Linked DNA regions of Stegostoma tigrinum. The protein of the gene in region 1 interacts with the protein of each later gene in a biochemical or structural test. Links are inferred from orthologs where the notes say so. Each region holds a gene or a part of one and is shown in the gene's direction. Other genes may lie near its edges.

Region 1 (7,482 bases):
AGGATGAGCTGTGGGATCAGAACATGAGATGCTCCGGAAACAGGCAAGTGCAGTTATGCAGTTGCCCATAGCAACATCTTTAATTTAAGCAAGTCAATTGAGAAGCCATTCATTGTCAGGACAAATGCAGCCAGGCTAACGAAGATGTTGTTGGATGGTGACCAGTTTGGCCTCCATTCAAGGAGGAAGTGGAGAGCCCCCAGATTGCCCTGGAGGGTTTCAGAAGTTATGGAAGGATTGAGTGTCCCATGTGACAACCCACTAGGAAGTTGGAAACCATCAGGAGTCTCACAGATGTAAGCTGGATGAGTTTTTCTTTGCAATATTGATTAAGGAATAAATATTGATTGCCATATTCCCATTGCCTACATTTCTGTCTTAGGTTTGCTGCAGTGCTCCAGCGAGGCTCAACACAACAAGGAACAAGAAGATGACAATGAGCACCTCATGTTCTGCCTAAGTACCTTACAGCCCTTGGGAGTCAATGATGAGTTGAACAATTTCAGAGCATTAACAACTATCTCCACGTTCATTAGCCACCCCACACCCCCAAGCTTTCTTCTGCATGGATTATTCCCAGCACAGCCAACCCATTTTCAACTATTCAGACTTGTCGTTAGCACCCATTTAGCATTTATCTCTCTCCCTGTTTATGATCAGCAATCCCTTCGGATCCCTCTGGGCATCATCTCCATTTATTTGTCTCACTCATAAAGTCATACAGCCAACCATAATCCCAAACCATGGCTCATATCCCTGCAAACATTTCTTATTCATGTACTCATCTAAATGTCTTTTAAACATTGTAACTATATCCACATCCACCATTTCCTAGAATCATCAAGTCATACAGCATTGAAACAGACCCTCCGGCCCAACCAGTCCAGGCCGAACATATCCCGAACTAAACTAGCCCCACCTGCCTGTTCCTGGCTCATATCCCTAAAAACCTTTCCTATTCATGTATCCATCCAAATGTCTTTTAAACATTGTAATTGTACCATGCATCCACACTTCCTCAGGAAGTTTATTCCACACGCAAACCACACAGCACGTAAAACGTTCGCCTCATGTCTTTTTGAAATCTCTCTCCTCTCACTTTAAAAATGTGCCCCTTAGTCTTGAAATTCCCAATCCTAGGGAAAAGACAACTCCATCAACTCTATCTATACCTCTCATTATTTTATAAACTTCTATAAGTTCACCTCTCAACACCCTACGTTCCAGTGAAAAATGTCTAAGCCTATCCAGCATTTCTTGTAAACAGCTTGATAATATCGTTCCTATAACTGGGCAACCCGAACTGGACACTGTATTTCAGAAGAGGCCTCACCAAAGTCCTGTACAATCCGAGCATAACGTCCTAACTCCTATGCTGAAATGACTGAGCAATGAAGACTAGCATGCCAAGTGCCTTTTTAACCATCCTCTCTATATGTGACACAAACGTTAAAGAATTATGTACCTGCACTCTAGGCCTGTCTGTTCTACAACACTACCCAAGGCCCTACCTGTGTTTGTTGTACCAAAATGCAATACCTTACATTTATCCAGATTGAACTCCATCTGCCATTTCTCAACCCATTAACCCACTTGAACAAGATCCATTTGTAATCTTAGAAAACATTCTTCACTGTCTACGATGCCACCAATGTTGGCGTCATCTGTAAACTTACTAACCATGCCTTCCATATTCTCATTCAAATCATTTATATAAATGACAAACAAAAGAGAACCCAGAACTGATCCCTGTGGAACAGTGCTGGTCAAAGACCTCCAGTCTGAAAAACAACCCTCCCACCATCACCCTCAGTCTCTTGCTGTTCAGCCAATTTTGTATCCAATTGGCAAGATCACCCTGAATCCCATGTGATCGTGCTTGACCACTTAGTATGCCATGTGGAACCTTGTTAAAGGTGTTACTTAAGCCCAAGTAAACAATGTGTACTGCTCTTCTCTCATCAATCTTCTTAGTTATTTCATCCAAAAAACTCAATAAAGTTTGTGACACATGATTTTCCTTGCACAAAACCATGCTATTACTATTCATTCCTTGCCTCTCCAAATGCACATAAATCCATATAACTCAGTTAGCTCAGTTGGCTGAACAGCTGTTTAATAATGTAGATTGATACCAACTGTGTGGTTTCAGTTCACATATGGACTGAAGCTACCATGAAGCGTCCTCCCTTGCCTGGGGCATGGTGATCCTTAGTTTAAAATATCACCAATCTTGTCTCTCTCGAATGAAAGAGTGGGACTGTGGTGACAACTTTTCCACCCACTCAACCCGAACCCCACCCCACGTCTGTTATCAGCATAAATACCTCTACCCACCTGTGGCTTTCTCTGCTGAAGAAGGATCACTGGACTGAAAATATAACTCTGCTTCACTCTCCACAGATGTTGCCAGACCTGCTGAGTTTCTCTAGCAATTCTGGTTTTGTTTCAGATTTCTAGTATCCACAGGTCTTTGTTAAATATAGGCCAGGACTGGTGATGTCTCCCTTGCTCTCCTTTGAGATAAGGGAAATGGAAGCTTTGACATTTATCTGAGAGGGCAAGAGATGGCATCTGCAACCTTCATTGTTAATGTGGGTATTTATGCTTAAGTCTCTGGAGTGGAACGCACATTTCTTTGACTCAGGGATGAGTATGCTCCCAGCATGGTACATCTGCTATAGAATAAGGAAAAGAAAATGTCTACACACACAAACATAAATGTGAATTGCTTTGTCACGCGACTGACCTAACTGACAGATAATCCCATTATCACGTTGTTTGTGCCTGCTGTGTTTCCCACATGGCAACAAGTGTCTATGCTTTAAAAAGAACTTTAAATCGCCTATATAACAAAGCGTGAAGCTGGATGAACGCAGCAGGCCAAGCAGCATCTCAGGAGCACAAAAGCTGATGCTTTGGGCCTAGACCCTTCATCAGGGCTCTGATGAAGGGTCTAGGCCTGAAACGTCACTTTTGGACCCCTGAGATGCTGCTTGGCCTGCTGTGTTCATCCAGCTTCACACTTTGTTACCTTGGATTCTCCAGCATCTGCAGTTCCCATTATCACTTTAAATCGCCTGTGATGTGTCTGGAGCCTCGTGAGCCATTCAAGCCCCTTAAGTGTGTCACTCACTGTCTCTTGTGTCACCATCCACAGAATGTGTCGCTTATTGCGAAATGTGTCTCTCATTTCCCACCTCTGTGCGTAACCCATCTTGTAAGCGTTATAAGTTCTGAGAAAGGATCACCGGACCCGAAATGTTAACTTTGTTTTCTCCGTCACAGATGCTGCCAGACTCGCTGAGCTTTTCCAGCAGCTTTGTTTTTGTTCCTGATTTACTTTCGGTTTTTATTTTGCAAGTGTTTCACCCATTGCCCCCCATCATGTGATGCCCATCTCCCCTTGTATGGCACCCATTTTCCCCCCATCGTGTGACACCCATCTCCCCTTGTGTTATAGCCATCTCTCCTTCTCCTGCACTGCTCAAGGTGCAGTTGTGTAAGAACCGAAAGAACTGTGGATGCTGTAAATCAGGAACAAAAACAGAAATTGCTGGAAAAGCTCTGCAGGCCTGGCACCATCTGTGAAGGAAGAGACAGAGTTAATGTTTTGGGTCCGGTGACCCTTCCTCGTGCGAACTGTTCATCCACTTCACCAACCACTTCCATCCCAACCTAAAGTACTTAGGTTTTTGTGCAATGATAATGGGAACTGCAGATGCTGGAGAATCCAAGATAACAAAAGTGAGGAGCTGGATGAACACAGCAGGCCAAGCAGCATCTCAGGAGCACAAAAGCTGACGTTTCGGGCCTAGACCTATCTAGGTTTTTGTGCAGTGGTGTTGCCGTGTGAAATGAGCAGGAACTTGAGCATTCAACACAGTGCGCCAAACTGCAGGAGATCCGCCTCTCCCATTCAGCCCCGCCCCATTCACTCGACCACGCCCATGTCACTCACCTGGCCACGCCCCCTCAAATCAGTCCCGCCCATTTGCAACCTGCCGCGCCCCCTTTTCGGCCCCTAGACTTTGAATAGTCTCCTCCCCCATCATTCAGCTCCGCCCCTCCTGCACCGGCGCCCTCACCTCTAAATTCCGCCTTGTCACTTAGCCACGCCCACCTATTGTGACCCGCTTCACGTTTTCTCGCTCCGCCCCCCCAATGTATCCATACTCACACAACTGACCCCGCCCATATCCTTCAGATCAGCCCTCTCCCATGTAGCCCCGCCCCATTCTTTAGTTCCGCCCAGTCACATGTAGCCGCGCCCACGCCGGTAACAGCGCCCGCGTCCTCTAGACCCGCCCCCAACGCTATTAGGCCCCGCCCCAACGCCTTAGCCGCACCCATTCCCTTGGCTCCGCCCAAGCCCGCTAACCATCCACGGGCTGACCCCGCCCCCTTGCCCTCTGACCCGTTCCGCTCCCACGCTGCCCCGCGCTCTGCTCCCTGCCCGAGCGGCGGCTCCGTGTCTCCCTCCGACCCTCAGCCTGAGTCCCGAGGCCCCGCCGCCGCCGCATCATGATCAAGCTCTTCTCGCTCAAGCAGCAGAAGAAGGAAGAGGACGCCGCCGGAGCCGCCAAGACCGGCACCAAGAAGGCGTCGGCCGCGCAGCTCCGCATTCAGAAAGGTAACGGGAGGCCGGGGGCTCGGCGAAGCCAGGGCCCAGGGGAGGGTGAAGGGATCGGCGGGCCAGGCCTCTCTGAGGCACCGGGGCAAGGGGTACTGTTGTCGGCGGGGGTTGGAGACCGGCCTCTGACCCACAAGGAAGGCCTGGAAGCAGCTAGGCCTTAAATGGAGCCTGGGATCCGATTCGACCGGCTTGCTTCATGTGGAGAGGGCTCTGCTCCGAGGTCAGGACTGCGAGAGACCCCAGGATTGCCGGCGGGCAGAGACAGAGGAGAGGATCTGGGTGCTGGGCTCCTCAGAACGCCCTTCCCCAGGGTTGGGTGCAGTTGCCCCCACCCCTTTCCTCCCCTCATTATGGCCTGACTGTGGGGTGAGGAGAGGGTGTCAGGGATTTCCCCCAGGTTCAGTGGGCTCCTGATGAAAGCACTGATCTGCCAGGGTGAGGCAGCTACAGCCAACTGCTTCCTAACTGCCTGGTAACTGGTACCAGTTCTGGTCTTTGACCACCGTGTTGCCGTCTCTTGAGGGGAACCGCAGTTGCAATCTGTCACCTCAGCCCATCCGTCACCCCCTCCCTTCGACACTGATATAATCCCTACCCTCTCAATGCCTCCACTCTTGTAATCTGCCACCGACACCAATTCCAGGGTTACCATTCCTTGGACTCCTGAACCGGTTGTCCCAGCACCCAAGAAGTTTGAAATTTGCCAACAAAATATCAGGTTTCTTCTCCAAAGCGTTAAGACAAAGAAGGATATGTAGTCCCATACTTGCAATGCTAGTTTGAAATTGGGGCTAGATGGAGTTTTATTAAAATCACAAAACATCAGTTGCAGAAGGTGGTTTTCACACATTGGCAAGTTGATGACTATGCTTGAATGGGATGGCCTGTGGGGGCAAGGAAGAAGTTGGAGGTTCTCCAAACATAGTTGTTAGAGTGTGCTGCGCTGCACTCTGGGGAATATTTTATGTTATCATTTAAGAGGAAGCTGGGGAAGCCTTTGAAAGGCTGCAATATAAAATATTTCAAGGGAAAGTAACTACATAGCTCCTGTTGAAGTGCTCTTATTGACTCGAAGGCAAAGTGCTGTAATTTCTAGATTTTATTTGGCCTGTACACTTGGAATGTACTGCTGCTGACATCCATCCACATTGGAAATCTCCTCACATAACCAGTCATCCATTTCTAATCTTTGACAAAAGGTGGCGGCAGTAGCTGGTACTCCAGCTAGCCATTCATCATGCCCACTCATGGACAGGCATTGGATTTCTGAATGCTGTTTCACTTTCTTTCCTAAGCCTTTATCCAGCTGATCAGTCATTGGTTTTGACCCAAGGTTGACAGGGATAGGTTGGGGGATGTGTCTGGGTCAGATGCAGTTCGGACGGTTGATATGGACTCGTTGGTCCAAACGGCCTGATTCCACAGTGTGGGGATTCTATGAAAATGTGAATGCCATCCCCAAAATAACTGCTGCTCTGCAGAATTCTGTCATTACCTGAGCCCCACGTATTTTTGGATTGTGTAAGGGGACACATGTTGGGAAATGCTTTATCCAGTGTCAACGATTTACAGATCACTGGACCATGGAATGCTCTGACCCAGACGGCAGTGGAGGCCAACTCTCTGGACAGTTTCAAGAAAGAGATAGATAGAGCTCTTAAAGGTAGTGGAATCAAGGGTTATGGAGATAAGATAGGAACAGGATACTGATTGTGGGTGATTGGCCATGAATGGTCGTGCTGGCTCGAAGGACCAAAGGGCCTACTCCAGCACCTGTTGTCTATCATGATAGGGGCAGGAGGAACGGACCATTACTCACAAGAGGACCTAAGGTAGGGAAATCCTGAGGTTGTATTGATCAGATAAGGAGAAAGAAAGGGGAACTGACCAAATACAAAGAGAGTACAGGTGCTCTTTCTACATAAATATGTTTTTAGAATATTTGTCAGTTCTCCAAAATGTTTTGAAAGATTTATATTGGAAAATGAGCACTGTTCAGTCAATTTCAAGGTTACTTTATTTTCTAAATATCTAATAATTTGAGTGCCACAAGTTAGAAAGCACTATATGTGAGGGGTGTTCTTTATGGTGTTGGCCTCTTATTTAAGGGAAGAAGTAAATATGTTGGAGACAGTTAAGGTGAGGTTTAGCAGACTGATACCTGATGAGCGGGTTATCTGTAGGTTGGACAGACAGGGCCTGTTTTCACTAGTTTAGAAGGGGTGACTTGATTGAAATGTGTAAGGTTCTGAATGGTCTTGATAAGATGGACTTGGAAAAGCTGTTTCCTCTTGTGGGTGAAGCCAGAGCTTGGGGACCCTGTTGCACAAAGATGAGGGATTTATTGTTTTCTGAGAGTTGTGTAACTTTGCCTCAGCGGACAATGTAGTTTGGATCACTGAATATTTTTAAGGCAGAGGTAGATAAATTCTTGATAGCTTTTGATTCAAATGACCATGAGGAGCAGATGAGAATGTGGAATTCAAAAAGCAAACAAATCAGCCATAATGTTATTGATTGGTAGAGCGAGGTCAAGGGGCTGAATGGCCATTTCTGCTCCAATTTTGTATGTCCGTATGGAGGATCTTTTCGTCTTTAAAAAAAGCGTTCTGATTGCTTTTAGGTACTAGCAGCTGATTATTGTTGAGGACCCTATTGTGTCAATCGTCCTTGCACTTCCTCTCTCTCGACTAATGTGAATTCTGTTCCCAGCAGCTGGTCAGCTCTTCCCCATCTGCCTGTCTGCCTGAGGTTATCACCCCTTCAAAGAGCAGATGTGTGCTTATTTCTCCTCCCATCCAACAGCAGTTGTGAGTTCCAGTCTTGTGCTGAGACCAGCTGGCAGC
Region 2 (7,887 bases), on another chromosome or scaffold:
TCAATTGAAACACTAACAGTTAAATGCTATTTTGAGTCACAAAAGTGCTATTTATTTATTGTTATGACAGGTTTGTTTTTTAAATGATGCAGCTAACACAGAAATGGAGAACATTATTAGGAGATAAGAATTGTTAAACTACTTGCTGTTGTAATTTGGCACACAGGTCTAGACAGGAATGGGTTCTAGAATCTACAAAGGAAGGTTAAGAATCAGAAAGGTGGTTTGGGGCAGAATCAGAACTGCAAATAAAACATGGTGGAAATACATGCATTGACATACACCACATGAGAATTTTGACAATTTTAAGTTGAATTTTGCAGTGCAGTGGTAGTGTCCCTATTGCTAGGTCAGAAGATCTGGATTCCAGTTCCCTAATTTCCAAAAGTGAAGACTCTGTGGATGAAGTGTGCAAATGGGATTGGTAAGCAGGCCATTTTTTGCTTTTCTGGAGCCTTTTTGTACTCAGAAAAGGGGAGCCGCTGAGTCAATGGGGTGGTTGTATATACCAGCAATATCACAAATAAAAGGACAGAAACTCTCAGCCAACATTGGAAAAAAAATCATCAATTTCCTGGAATTTCAATGCTTGTGTTTTAATTGGTGTCAAATAAGCGTTTATGGTCAATTAATCTAGGCATGTGTTTGTCTTGCGAACAATGGCTTGGCAGGAAGTGGGGTGTTTCTGTGAATATTTTAAAAAGGGGTGGAAGTCTGGAAGTCATCTGGAATTCCAGGAATTGTCAGTAAACACACGCTACTGGAGCAATTGGAAGCAGCCTAGTTTTAGGAGCAATTACACAGATAACTTGGATAAACTGCAGAATTGGGCTGAAACGTGGCAAATGGATTTTAATACGGATAAATGTGAGGTGATTCACTTTAGGAGGAATAATAAGGTGGCAGAATACCAGGTCAATGGAAAGATTCTTGGTAGTGTGGATGTGCAGAGGGATCTTGGTGTCCATGTACATAGATCCCTGAAAGTTGCCACCCAGGTTGATAGTGCTGTTAAGGCGGCTTACGGTGATTGAGTTCCGGAGCCATGATGTCATGCTGCAACTGTACAAAATGCTAGTGCGACCTCATTTGGAATACTGCGTGCAGTTCTGGTCACCCCATTACAGGAAGGATGTGGAAGCATCGGAAAAGGTGCAGAGGAGATTCACCAGGATGTTGTCTGGTCTAGAGCGAAGGCCCTATGAAGAAAGGCTGAGGGACTTGGGTCTGTTCTCGTTGGAGAGAAGGAGGCTAAGAGGGGATTTTATAGAGACATACAAGACGATCAGAGGATTAGATAGGGTGGACAGTGAGAGTCTTTTTCGAGGATGATGACTTCAGCTTGTACAAGAGGACTTGGCTACAAATTGAGGGGTGATAGATTTAAGACAGATGTCAGTGGCAGGTTCTTTACTCAGAGTGGTAAGGGTGTGGAATGCCCTGCCTGCCAATGTAGTTAACTCAGCCACATTAGGGGCATTTAAACAGTCCTTGGATAAGCATATGGATAATGATGGGATAGTGTAGGGGGATTAGATCAGTTCACAGGTCGGCACAACATCGAGGGCCGAAGGGCCTGTTCGGCGCTGTATTGTTCTGTGTTCTATAACTCACAACAAGAAGTTGAGGTGGTGGATTAAAGTTTATTTTTAGTCCATTGCACTTGTCAGAAGCTCAAGCAAAATGGGGTTTTGGCCTCCGGTGAACCACCAATTCCAATCAGATTTCCAGAGTCAGCTTGCTGGCTTGATGGCGTCTAATTTCCTCCTGATCGTGGGCTTCAGTTAAGTGCTGGGTGGAGGAAAGAGGACTAGCCTTGTACAGCAAGTGTCTACATTAGTGTTGCAAAACTGGAGATGAATGCTACTGGATTATTTCACCGAATGGTGACATTTAAATTCTGAGTAGTACACTAAGGACTGTGCCCTGAGTATGAAACATGACTATACTGGTCAGGAGAAGCATTTAAGAGTTACCAAAACATGGAAGGTTAAGCTGCATCATGCTAATTATTGGATTTCACACGTAACAAATAATATCCAGCTGCACAATAAAAACTATGATTTTGAAAAATCCATGCTGACTGTATATCAGCAGACACTGCCTGTGCATAAACCCAAAGTCACTGCAACTCTACCGTCCATATACTCAGTCAAATATCTACTAACCAGTATACTCACTGACTTACCTCTCTACCTACCACTAGACAAAATTTGCTTTTTTATCATAGGGTTCAAATCTCTCCTTTATATCATTGTAATTTCCTCCAGCCTGAAAGTTTGCATGCCTCAAAGTTCCTTTGCCCCACTGTTCTCAGCCATGACTTCAATGGTCCATGCTGCAGCTCTGGAATTTCCAAACTTCTCTCTGTCTCCCCTCCTTGAATATGGCCATAAGACCATAAGACACAGGAATGGAAGTAAGGCCATTTGGCCCGTCAAGTCCACTCCGCCATTAAAATCATGGCTGATGGGCATTTCAACTCCACTTCCCTGCACTCTCCCCATAGCCCTTGATTCGTTCTGAGATCAAGAATTTGTTGATTTCTGCCTTGAAGGCATCCAACTTCCCGGCCTCCACTGCACTCCGTGGCAATGAATTCCACATGCCCACCACTCTCTGGCTGAAGAAATGCCGTCTCAGTTCAGTTTTAAATTTACCCCCTCTAATTTTAAGGCTGTGCCCACAGGTCCTAGTTTCCCCGCCTAACAGAAACAACTTCCTAGCGTCCACCCCTTCTAGACCATACATTATCTTGTAAATTTCTATTAGATCTCCCCATAACCTTGTAAACTCTAATGAGTACAATCCCAGGATCCTTAGCCGTTCATCATACGTTAAACCTACCATTCCAGGGATCTAGCCCTTAGTATCTACCTCGATTATTTGACACTTGTCAGTATTTACCTGATTAAACTGCCGTGAAGCCAAGGTTATAGGCAGTACAGGATACAAATGCAAGTCACTGAATTAAGCTATTAGAGAGCAACGTTGAAGGTGCCAGCTCAAATTGTCAAGATTTTTGTCACTCTTGAAAGTCAAGTAATTATACTATCATTTATTTGTGCAGCAACACAAGCAAATAAAACCATTACATTAGCACTTTATCAAATCAGGGGATACTGGAAATCTGTTATATGAAGAATGGTGTGGTCCAGTTGTGTGTAAGTTCGGTACTGGCTATGATTTCACATGAACTTTATCATAGCCTTATAGGCTCTCGGTGAGAATGTTTATTGTGCGTTGAAGTTCCTGTAGGCTACATTCTTATAGCTTGCAATTTCTAACTTTAGATAAAGCAACAGTTCTTTTTAAGAAAAATGGAAACTTGACTGTTATCCACAAGGGCTAGTTTAATTCTTAAATTTTAGCTGTTTGGTACAAATTAAGAAAAAATTGAGTAAAGTTTGGAACTAAAAGTTTAAAAAAATGAGTAAATCAAGGCAAAACAAAGATGTATGACTAAACATTTTGCCTTGCAATCGTCCGAAGAGGGGCTAGATGCTGAATTTCAAATGGAAGAACAATTTATATTACAGGTGACTTCTTATTACACATCAATGAAAAACGCAAGAAAGCAGGGCTGGTATTAACCATCTAATAGAAATATCGATAGCCCAAAGATGTGCAGGTTAGGCAGATTAGCCAAGCTAAATTGCCTATAGTGTTCAGGGATGCACTGATTAGGTCCGTCAGCCATGGAAAATACAGGGATTGGGTATGGGTCTGGGTGGAATGCTCTTCGGAGGATCAGTATGGACTCTCTGGGCCGAATAGCCTGTTTCCACACTGCAGGGATTATATTTGAGAAGTTTCATTCAGCAATCGGGGAGTATCTCCCCACGGCCTCAGTTTAAAAGCCGACAGCTGTGTTTATAAATTCATGACTGATGCAGAAAGGAAAAAAAAAGGCAAAACGCTCGAGTGAACGGCTCGTTTCTTCTCTTCCCCAGCCCTTACCAAACACCCACACAAACTACCCAGCCACAAGGCGAGGGAGAAGGGGACGGCCTCACCTTCTCAAGATGAAGCATCCGGCCGCAGTTCACTCTCCAAATATTCAACCGCCCGTCACACCGACCATTCGTCCATCACGACAGCGCGTTGTCTTTCTGATTTGTGAATTTTTAAATAAGAGAAGATAAAATAAAGACGTGAAGTAGTTAAACTGCTGTCAGGTGACCTCACGTTGGATGGAGCCAGGGCCACCCGCCCTAAATTAAAATAAAACTACTATTTTCTGTTTTGCGTTCGGTCGTTACCGGAGAACAGGGATGGATAAAGAAGCGGAATATACCGAACTTTAGAGAGAGCGCACAGGCGGCGGTGTCAACACCGATTCACGGGAGAGGGGTACCGAGGAGACACCGCCAATCTGACATCCCAACGGAAAACCGCGCGCGCCCCAGCACTGCGCATGCGTACCACTCACCAGGCCACGAGCGGCAAGCACGCGCGTCTTCTTCCCTTTGCCCTCCTCCCCGCTCAACCCAATCCCAAAGCCAGGGCGCGATGCCGCGTCTGACCGCGAACGCGCGCAACTCCGTCCGATTCACGCAAACACGCCATGCGCGCCCGCCAATCCAGGTTCACGCCCGCCCGCGGAGTTGCGCACGCGCATTTCCCTCATCGCCGCCGGGCAGCTGATGGAAATGCGCATGCGCACTTCCACCGGAACGTAGGCTCATATCCACACAGAGCTCCGATCCGTTCCAAAGCCTTCTGCGCACGCGCATCACCTCCTCCTCTTCCCCGCCCCTCCGCGCGGCGGTGTGGCCTCGTGTCATCAGCGTCATGGCGTCACTGTTGTCTGACCGCAAGGTTTGATGAGGTAATGCGCAGACGGAAAGCTGGCTGCCCGGCGCAGTAGGAAGTGATGAGGGGAAGTTTCTGTCTCCTCAAATTATCAGCGGAACGGTGGCCGTTTCTCCGTCCGTGCCTTTCGCGAAAAGCTGAACGTTAGTGTCCATCCGGGGTGACTATGGCTTTGAAAAGGTCGGGTTGCCCGGCCGTGATGATGTCGTGAGAAGGCCTGGCGCCTTTCCTGCCTTTCCTCTCTCCGAGGCCAAGGGAAGCCCGTCGTTGTTTCAGTGCCTTCGCGCAGACCTCTGACTCCTCACCCTGAATTAATACTCAAAAACTCCTCAGCCGTCTGCTTTTTAAACTCGCTCTCCCGGAAAACAGGACGATGGCTTGATCACGTTTCATGTTATTTGTAAGTTTCTGTTTTTCGACATCGACCTGGGTTGTAGCACAAACGGAGTGGGGTAACGGCGGTTGGGCTTTTTGTTTTGGTGAGGCAATTGATTCAAGTCTGAATCAAAGAAATATCTCCCTCACACGTGGCACTTTCTACCTTATCTGAGTCTGTGTGATGGATAACTTTCCTTCTGTTTTGGGTGTTGAAATCTGGGTTGCCTGCTAAAACGAGTGATGGCCTAATTTCCTTTTTAAATCCATGGAATGAAATGTTCCTTTCAATGGAAAAAATAAATGTTGGTGATAAAGTGTATAAATGGTGTGCTTCCAAGCGATGATTCTTCAATGATAACGTAGAGGCAGAATGGCTTCAAGATAGATTGTTGACAGGTTGATCTTCGTAACAGTAATCAATTGCAGGCATCAACAATGGTCCTGCACGCAAGCACTGTGTTCTAAAATGAAGATGCAGTTTGAATGGGGGAGGGGTGGCGATGGAGCATTGCCGAGCAGTTTGTTTTTCACTTGTCTATTGCCCTAGTTCAACCTTTCCTACAGATGAGAATTTCCCTCTCCTGGGATTGCCCTGTCATTGGAATTACAGGCCTTTTGCGAGTACTATGTCACTACTAGAGTTAGCTTTCAGATTAATTCATTACAGAATAGTGACAATCTGCTTTCAGGTTCTCGTGTTATGCACGCATGTGGACATTGCAGAAACCTGTTTACTTCTAAAAGCAAAACATTTTCTATAATCTTTCACAACCTTGGAATACCCCAGAGCATTTTTATAGTCAACATGTTATTTTCAAAGTCATTTTTTGAAATGCAGCAGCCAATTTGCACATAGCAAGGTTCCACAACAAGAATGTGTTAGTGACTAGATAATTAGTTGTAGGAATGTTCTTAGAGGGATAGATACTATTCTGAACACCAGGTTAGATTTCAACTTCTTAGCCATAGAGATTTTACAACATGGAAAGAGGACTGTTGTTTCTACACCAGCCATCAAATATGGATCTATTTTAATCCCATTTTCCAGCATTTAGCCTGTGGCCTAGTATAGAATCGAGTTTCAACTGTTCAGCTATATAGCTTTTTAAATTACTTGAGGCTTCTCTAACGTCCTATTAGACATTCTGTTCTAAATGCCCACAACCCTCTAGGTGAAAAGGAAATCCTCAAACCCACTCTAACCTTCCTGCTCCTAACCTTAAAACTGCCCCCTTGTTATTTACCCCTCAATTAAGGGGAAAAGTGTCTACCCATCTGTGCCCCTCAGAATTTTGTACACTTTGATCAGATCCCTTCCCTCAGCCTTCTCTCCTTTTAAGGAGGACAACTCCAGCCTGTCGGTCTGCGCATTGCTGAGTTGTTCCAGCCCAGGCATATTTAGATTTCTAAAAGGATTCAATAAGATGTCACAAAAAGGGCTGCACAAGGTATAAGCTCTTGATGTGCTGAATTTCTCTGCTTTCTAATTGTTTTTTCAAATCTCCAATTTCTGCAGTACTTCACATTTATTATAAATGCTCTTGAGATTGGACTAGTGTAGTAGAATTAGTGAAAGTTGATATAAAGGGCAAAAAATGGAGTAGCAATAAATAGATTTAAAGAAAACCCGTAAGAACTGTGGTTGCTGGAAATCGGAAACAAAAACAGAAATCACTGGAAAAACTCAGCAGGTCTGGCAGGTCTCTATGGAGAGAAAGCAGAGTCAAAGTTTTGAGTCCAGTGACCCTTCTTCAGAAGTAATTAGCTAGGAAAAGGTTAGCCTGTATGCTGAAGATAGGATTGGGGAGGAGTAAATGATAAGTGGAGATGGAGTGAGGGACCATTAGCTGACACTGAGTTGGTCGCGGTAGCAGGCTAAATGATGACGAGGCTTTGGTGTATGGGGTTTGGGGTAAGGACATGGGAAAAGGTGCTTAATTATTGAACTCTTGATTCCTGAAGGTTAGAGTTAGGTCTCAGGTTGGCAAGCAATAACTAGAAAAGTCCTGAATTTCGGAGATACCATTATTTACCATTAATTGTCAACAGTTTGGTTGAAGGGTCCGAGTGTAACCTCATTGGTTTTGTAGATAAGGAACTAGGTGAGAAAGTAAGCTGGGAAGAGGATGTAATCTGCAAAGACATTTTATATTTTTAACTGAGTTGGAAGGGGTTGCAATGTAATGATAGGAAATAAGGTTATTCACTTCAGTAGGAAGAGTATAAAATCAATAGTTTTCAATTAGAACAATCAATACTTGATATTCAGAGGAATGTGGGTGTGCTTATATAACTAATACAGAAAATTAACATACAGGTAAAGCAAGAAATTAGATTAAATTCCCTACAGTGTAAAACAGGCCCTTCGGCCCAACAAGTCCACACCACCCCTTATACCATCCCACCCAAACGCATCCCCCTATAATCCACACACCCCTGAACACTATGGGCAATTTAGCATTGCCAATCCACCTAGCCTGCACATCTTTGGACTGTGGACGGAAACCGGAGCACCTGGAGGAAGCCCATGCAGACATTGGGAGTACGTGCAAACTCTGCACAGAGAGTCACCCGAGGCTGGAATCGAACCTGGGTCCCTGGTGCTGTGAGGCTGTTTTTGGCATGGCTATTGCTATGTAGAAACATAGAAAATAGGAGCAGGAGCAGATAGGCCAATCAGTTCTTTAAGCCTGC
Region 3 (7,860 bases), on another chromosome or scaffold:
CAAAAGCTGACATTTTGGGCAAGGGCCTGCTGTGTTCATCCAGCTCCGCGCTCTGTTATCTTGGATTCTCCAGCATCTGCAGTTCCCAGTATCACTGTAATGCAAGATAATTGTTTAGTGACCACTAAACCAAATTTAGTTATGATGTTTAAGAGGCTGTTAGGTAAATGAAGGCAAATATTAGAAGACAGTGGGGGTGTGTGACAGCACAGTGGCTCAGTGGTTAGCACTGCAACCTCACACCACCAGGGACCCACGTTCGATTCCAGCCTCAGGCATCTGTCTGTGCAAAGATTGCACATTCTCCCCATGTCTGCATGGGTTTTCTCCAGGTTTCCTTCCACAGTCCAAAGATGTGCAGGCTAGGTGAATTGGCCATGCTAAATTGCCTGTAGTGCTCAGAGGTGTGTGGGATGATCCAAGGGGCAGTGTGGACTTGTTGGGCCAATGGGCCTGTTTCCACACTGTAGGGAATCATAAAAAAAATTGGTTTAATTTTAGTGGTCTTAGTGGAGTACTAACATCAGCTGAAATGTGATACTAAAAATAGTCTTTTGTACCAAAATTTTTCAAATGTCTTAATAAAGTTATTTGAAGTTTATTATACTGACATGAATGTTTCATTGAAATACATGCATGTGTTTTACTTTTCCAAAATACACATCATTACATATCATTAAATAAAAAGAATAGGTTATTGTTGTCACTGGAAACAAAGCAGCATTATTTGCAGAAAGACTAATCAAATAAGAGAACATCCAGTGGGCTACTTATATACAAACAGGAGTTAGGCCAGTCAGCCTTTCATGACTTCCACACTCAATGAGATCATGACAGACCTTACCATTTAAGAAATGTTCTATACTTAGTTTACTTACACTAATGTGGATAACCAAATTTTACCAACATATATCCAGATATTCCATCTGCCATGTTCTTGCCTAATCACCAAGTCTGTCCACATCCTCCCAAAACACTTGATATCATTATCAGTCCAAAGATGCGCAGGCTAGGTGGATTGGCCATGTTAAATTGCCCGTTGTGTACATGGGTGTGTGTGTGTGTTATAGGGGGATGGGTCTGGGTGGGACGCTGCAAAGGGTGGTGTGGAGTTGTTGGGCTGAAGGGCCTGTTTCCACACTGTAGGGAATCTAATTAATCACAGCACAGCTTTGTAGTTATTTTCATCCACCCTGGTTGGATATGATATGACATACCTTCAAGGCAGGTGGGATTTGAACCAGGATCTCTGGCCTGAAGGCAACACAGATCCCTCCACTTAGCTTTGTATCATCTGCAAATATGTCATTCTGGACCCCACATCCGAATTGCCTATATATTGCAAACAGCTGGGGCCCAAATTCTGACCCACTGATATCCTTCTAGAAACAGCCTACCAACACGAGAATAATCTGTTCATTTCTAGGTCTGTTTCCAACCTGTTGGCTCAATCTTCATCTATGCCCACACATAACCTCCTATTCTGAGATAATGGGAACTGCAGATGCTGGAGAATTCCAAGATAATAAAATGTGAGGCTGGATGAACACAGCAGGCCAAGCAGCATCTCAGGAGCACAAAAGCTGACGTTTCGGGCCTAGACCCTTCATCAGAGAGGGGGATGGGGAGAGGGAACTGGAATAAATAGGGAGAGAGGGGGAGGCGGACCGAAGATGGAGAGTAAAGAAGATAGGTGGAGAGAGTATAGGTGGGGAGGTAGGGAGGGGATAGGTCAGTCCAGGGAAGACGGACAGGTCAAGGAGGTGGGATGAGGTTAGTAGGTAGATGGGGGTGCGGCTTGGGGTGGGAGGAAGGGATGGGTGAGAGGAAGAACCGGTTAGGGAGGCAGAGACAGGTTGGACTGGTTTTGGGATGCAGTGGGTGGGGGGAAGAGCTGGGCTGGTGGTGTGGTGCAGTGGGGGGAGGGGACGAATTGGGCTGGTTTAGGGATGCAGTAGGGGAAGGGGAGATTTTGAAACTGGTGAAGTCCACATTGATACCATATGGCTGCAGGGTTCCCAGGCGGAATATGAGTTGCTGTTCCTGCAACCTTCAGGTGGCATCATTGTGGCAGTGCAGGAGGCCCATGAAGGACCGCAACTTTCCCCCCACAGTGATCGAGAACGCCCTTGACCGCGTCTCCCGTATTTCCCGCAACACATCCCTCACACCCCGCCCCCGCCACAACCGCCCTAAGAGGATCCCCCTCGTTCTCACACACCACCCTACCAACCTCCGGATACAACGCATCATCCTCCGACACTTCCGCCATCTACAATCCGACCCCACCACCCAAGACATTTTTCCATCCCCACCCCTGTCTGCTTTCCGGAGAGACCACTCTCTCCGTGACTCCCTTGTTCGTTCCACACTGCCCTCCAACCCCACCACACCCGGCACCTTCCCCTGCAACCGCAGGAAATGCGACACTTGCCCCCTCACCCCTATCCCAGGCCCCAAGATGACATTCCACATTAAGCAGAGGTTCACCTGCACATCTGCCAATGTGGTATACTGCATCCACTGTACCCAGTGCGGCTTCCTCTACATTAGGGAAACCAAGCGGAGGCTTGGGGACCGCTTTGCAGAACACCTCCGCTCAGTTCGCAACAAACAACTGCACCTCCCAGTCGCAAACCATTTCCACTCCCGCTCCCATTCTCTAGATGACATGTCCATCATGGGCCTCCTGCAGTGCCACAATGATGCCACCCGAAGGTTGCAGGAACAGCAACTCATATTCCGCCTGGGAACCCTGCAGCCATATGGTATCAATGTGGACTTCACCAGTTTCAAAATCTTCCCTTCCCCTACTGCATCCCTAAACCAGCCCAGTTCGTCCCCTCCCCCCACTGCACCACACAACCAGCCCAGCTCTTCCCCCCCACCCACTGCATCCCAAAACCAATCCAACCTGTCTCTGCCTCCCTAACCGTTCTTCCTCTCACCCATCTCTTCCTCCCACCCCAAGCCGCACCCCCGTCCACCTAATAACCTCATCCCACCTCCTTGACCTGTCTGTCTTCCCTGGACTGACCTATCCCCTCCCTACCTCCCCACCTATACTCTCTCCACCTATCTTTACTCTCCATCTTCGGTCCGCCTCCCTCTCTCCCTATTTATTACAGTTCCCTCTCTCCATCCCCCTCTCTGATGAAGGATCTAGGCCCGAAACGTCAGCTTTTGTGCTCCTGAGATGCTGCTTGGCCTGCTGTGTTCATCCAGCCTCACATTTTATTAACCTCCCATTCTCGTGTGTTTTGAATTTGCTGAAGGTCCTGCAGGGGACGCTATAAAACCTGAAAATTTCAGTTTGTTACATCCGTTCACTTTCCATAATCAATTTTGTGACTAACAGCCCCCTGACCTCCAAGTTGCAAATTCGTAATGATTGTGCCCTACATTTTTGTCCATTCATCTATTGATCATATTCTTTATAATTCACTTCCCCTACTACTCGTGAGAGCTATTAAGTCTGCAGTCGCCTGTTTTCTTTCTCACTTCCTTATTTATTAGTGGTACGACGTACGTAGCTTCCAACCTTTAGGAATCACTCCTTAGAATTTAGAAGCTGATGACCAACGACGCACTGTCCCGATAGCAAACACAACAAATGCTGGAGATTACAGCGGCTCAGACAGCATCGATGCAGAAAGAGTCGGCTGAACATTTCGAGTTTAGATGACTCTTCATCACAGCTGAAGCTCGAAACGTTAGCTTTCTTTCCTTTCGTGGATGTCGTCTGACCCGCTGTGATCTCCAGCTTTTTTTTGTAGCATCTGCAGTAATTTGTTTCCTTCATTATCTTGATAGCCACGTCTTTAAACTGTGTGGGATTTAAACTATCAGGTCCTTGAAGGCCAACTTTCAGCTCCACTTTTTCTCCAGTAGAACTTTTTTTATTAATACTAATTTGCTGGATTCGATCTCTGGTTCGGGGAAATAGCTTGCACCATCCTCGGTGAAAACAAACACAAACTCATCTACCATTTCTCTTATTCCTCATTATGACTTCTAGTGACTGCCAGTAAAGGACCTACATTCGCCTTAGCCAAACCTAGCCATGATAAAGTGTGACTGACAGACGTATAATTTCTTCGTCTTTCTTCCTTACAGTGGGCACTGGAAGCGAGAAATCTTCAACGGGAGTGAGGAGTTTGCAAATCGATTGAACTCGTTCAAGCGTGGGGAGAATTAAGACAAGTCATGTAAGAAAGCGGGGTGATTACTGGGGAACGGAATTTGGCAGATTATCGCTGAGTCAGTGTAAATCTAAATGCAGATTTATTGAATAAAAATGTAACCATAGCCACGACCTCAACGGCACAATCCAGATCAAGTGGTTCACCTCTCCCCTCCCCCAATAACCGGTACAACAGGCCACGGACCGGTACTCTGATTGGTCCAGGATCCCTCTGTTGCTAGGATGGGGACTCATTCCTATTATTTACTGCAACGACGAGGTGGCGACTTCATTAGAAAACAGTATAAGTTAGCCGGGGGAGGGGGGGGCGGGGGATAAATAACGCCAGGACACCATTCAACATCCCTCATCATAGGAGTATGTGTTTCAATTTGCTTTAAACGTGTACATCGCAACGAATGGGTGATAAATAACCTGTACCGACAGCTACCGTTCTCCCCGAGGCTGAAGGCGGAGCCAAGCCGTGCCGAACCACACCACCGGTCCCGCCCATCCGTGGCGGCCCCTGTGATTGACATTCCAGTAGCCAGAGGAACGCTGCCCTGAGAGTTACGCGAGGTGGGCGGGCTGGGGAGCCAATCGCAGAGAGGCGCAGGCGGGACTTCCGTTGTTACTGGCTGGCTTCACCGGCACGAGCGGGAGCGGTTGTCCGGCGCGTTCTGAACCATCCTCGCCCTGAAAATGCACGCGGATGCAGTCAGTAAGTATCGAGGATCCGCCGCTCTAACTACTGCTGTCCCCCATGGTGCATACATATTTCACATGGCTATGCCATTTCCTTTGTCAGCACTACAGGGTTCATTTGTTTTTGTCTGCGTTTAGTGCAAGGTATTCTGTTTCACCTGCGTCTCTTTAATGGAGATGATTCGTGTGTCACAGAAGAGAGGTGACGCAGTTTTCTTTCCAGAGTGTCTCATATTAATGCCCTGACTAACCTGATCGCATTCTTTTTCTCCTTGTCCGATTCATGGTCGAAAGTGGATATCAGCAGAATGATATGGTGGCGGCATTGGGCAAGGAAGGGGATTATTATTCTCTTTCTCTACTCCCCCTCCCCCCGATGCAGAAGCTTTGTCAACTCTGCTGAGAAGCTGTCTGGAGTTGTATTTATTTCAGGATGTTGGGGAGGGTACGAGAATGTGGGACGCGTATATCAACGCGCAGGCGCAACGTTCGTGACGTTTTCTGGGAATTGTAGTTCTATGACGACTAATTATGTGATGACACACCTAGTGGCGTCACAAGGGAACTGCAATCCCCAGACTGCTTTATGCGGTGTAACCTAGGGAAGCGTTTACCTGGGGGCTCAGCTCCTTGGCCACTCTGGCAGATTGGTCTCAATGCAGTACTCTCTATCTAGGTTTTTTTTCCATCTTTGGCCATCCGCAGTGTCCGTTATTTAAATAAATATATTTTTCTTTGCGTATTAGTTCTACTTTAAATGGGGTTTACCTTTTTGTTGAACGGGCATTATTTTAACTACATTGTCCACCTTGGCAAATTCACCCAGTTCTGTGGCTATGCAAGATATGGTGATGATTCTGCATTCTGGTCAGTTGATTTCTACTGTAGTTAACAAAATTCCTTCAGTTTTGTTTAATTGTAGAAACCTTAGCATGAATATCATGTCTGCTTGGAGTTGATCTAGATGGCTTAACCAGCTTTCACAACTACGAGCTAATGCTGTGTTTTGCTACTTGTTAGAATTGCGTGTTTACCTGTACTAAGAATAAAAGGCAACTTTTTTTTGTTAAAACTGGAAGGTATGACACTTATGAATAAAGTCATGGCATGATTTTGATTTATTGTCATGTCTGTTTACTTACAAAATATGGTAAAAATTGTGGTATAATGTTGCCACTCTCCAGTGTCATCTTAAAATACAAATAAACCAAAATTAAAGAATTTTAAGGCAGAAAAATGAAGAAATAAAGAATAAAGAAATTGCTGACTTCTCATCTGTGGCCCAGTGTCATAGAACCCCCTGAATGAAGATGTATTAACTTCTGTCCTGATTTCCAGTTGTGGAAGTTTATTGTTCATTGTACTAGACAAGTATTGTCTTTTGCGTGCATTCAGTTTCAATCCACATTTTGAAAGTTGAAATTTGGTCTGTTAAGTTGAGGATATAAACCAAAGTTGCATTTTACATTAATTACAACTATGATAGACCAGTTTTGTAGTACAGTAGTTTTTATTTGAACTTGTGGAACAGGATGAAGAGAACCCAATACTTAACAGTATTCAATATAAGTTGTATTTGCACACTTTTGTTACATCCAAATGTAAGTGGATACTTTTATGTTTCGGTATAAGCCAAGTTTTTAGAACTAGAGTATAAAATGTCCGAAGCAATCACAGCTGGATTCTCAGGCTGTTGGAGTTCAAGAAGTTCAGACATCTAAGTGTGAAAATCTAACACATGAGATAGAGGGGGATGTTCTGAGATATGCAGTACTGAATGTGAAAGAACTGGGAAGTACAGGATAGTTAGAGCTGAGAGTTTAGAACCAAGTGTAGATAAGTGACCTCACAGCAAGCGGTACTAAGGTACTGTTCATCAATTATTTGCATTTTAAGACAATTTGTACTTTTAATCTGCACATAGTGATATAATAATGGAAATTTAAATGTCAATATGCAGAACTTAAAATGATTTGTAAATAAAGAGGAAAATTCACTAGTTTTGATGTAAATTAATGCTTAATAATTTGGCTTTAAATATCTCACCTATGTAATAAACATGACATATTTGACTTGCTCTTTAAAAGTGACCAGTGTTTAAAAGTTTCCTTTTGAGGACAATGGTAATGTAACAATATTGTTCATCTTTTTTTAAAGTTCTGGGTAAAATACTCCGAATTAAATCATTTGCAGTTCATTTGAGATAATGATGAAATCAGTGAATTATAATGCAATAAACTGATTAAGGGGCCTTAATGATCTCCTGAACTTGAATAAAGCCTAACTGAAGACTGAAAGCAGCCAAATTCACTGACAGGTATTTGTTCTTGCACAGCAGTGAAATTTGTGATTTATCATCCTCATTGTTTGTCACTGCTTCCTTAGCAAGGTAACCACTTTTAAATAATGAAACTGTAGAAAAGTGCACCACTCTTTGTGGATTATTTGAACCTCTCTACAATCTGTATTTACTACACTAATATATTAAATGGTCCTTTAGTTTGCAGAATTATTTTTGAAGATTTTGTACCTCCTCTGTCAAAGCTGTTCCAATGATCATATCAATACTGAGTATAACACAATAACATAAGGTTTTTGAAATTTGCTAAATTGTTTCCTAGTTAATATTTGTTTTTATATCTTTCTAGAAAAAAATCATTGGTGTTATATTATGGAAGCTGGTATTAATTATAATTGTGCATTAATTTGCAAATCTGACAAAATCCAGAGATTATTTTTGTTTCTGTAGATTAATTGTTAGGATTGATTGCTGTAACAACTTTATTGTTGTATCATGCGATTACCGAGATGGTGAAACATAAACTAGAAGGGTCTTGGCCCTTTTTACATGTACCAGTTCCTATGACTGTTCCACTGAAACTCTGATTTTAGAGCACATTTTACTGAAAATAACAGTCACTGTTTAGGTCATCCCGAAAGGTTTTGACATAGTCTGACACTGTAAAGGTTTA

Evidence for each region.
Region 2: the proteins of ube2m (region 1) and dcun1d3 form a complex in vitro, tested with the Homo sapiens proteins (4 studies listed by BioGRID and IntAct). The link is inferred for Stegostoma tigrinum from reciprocal best matches to the Homo sapiens genes UBE2M and DCUN1D3.
Region 3: the proteins of ube2m (region 1) and dcun1d4 form a complex in vitro, tested with the Homo sapiens proteins (3 studies listed by BioGRID). The link is inferred for Stegostoma tigrinum from reciprocal best matches to the Homo sapiens genes UBE2M and DCUN1D4.

The regions. Positions count from the first base shown.
Region 1 is NC_081391.1:19,879,917-19,887,398, forward strand, and holds the start of ube2m (NEDD8-conjugating enzyme Ubc12), read left to right. Parts: upstream 1-4,391; 5' UTR 4,392-4,524; coding exon 4,525-4,633; intron 4,634-7,482.
Region 2 is NC_081376.1:49,316,802-49,324,688, forward strand, and holds the start of dcun1d3 (DCN1-like protein 3), read left to right. Parts: upstream 1-4,802; 5' UTR 4,803-5,215; intron 5,216-7,887. Other genes in the region: lyrm1 (LYR motif containing protein 1), read right to left, coding at 4,017-4,034. UniProt on the Homo sapiens protein: Contributes to the neddylation of all cullins by transferring NEDD8 from N-terminally acetylated NEDD8-conjugating E2s enzyme to different cullin C-terminal domain-RBX complexes and may play a role in the cell cycle progression by regulating the SCF ubiquitin E3 ligase complex, after UV damage.
Region 3 is NC_081354.1:106,280,496-106,288,355, forward strand, and holds the start of dcun1d4 (DCN1-like protein 4), read left to right. Parts: upstream 1-4,775; 5' UTR 4,776-4,885; coding exon 4,886-4,904; intron 4,905-7,860. UniProt on the Homo sapiens protein: Contributes to the neddylation of all cullins by transferring NEDD8 from N-terminally acetylated NEDD8-conjugating E2s enzyme to different cullin C-terminal domain-RBX complexes which are necessary for the activation of cullin-RING E3 ubiquitin ligases (CRLs).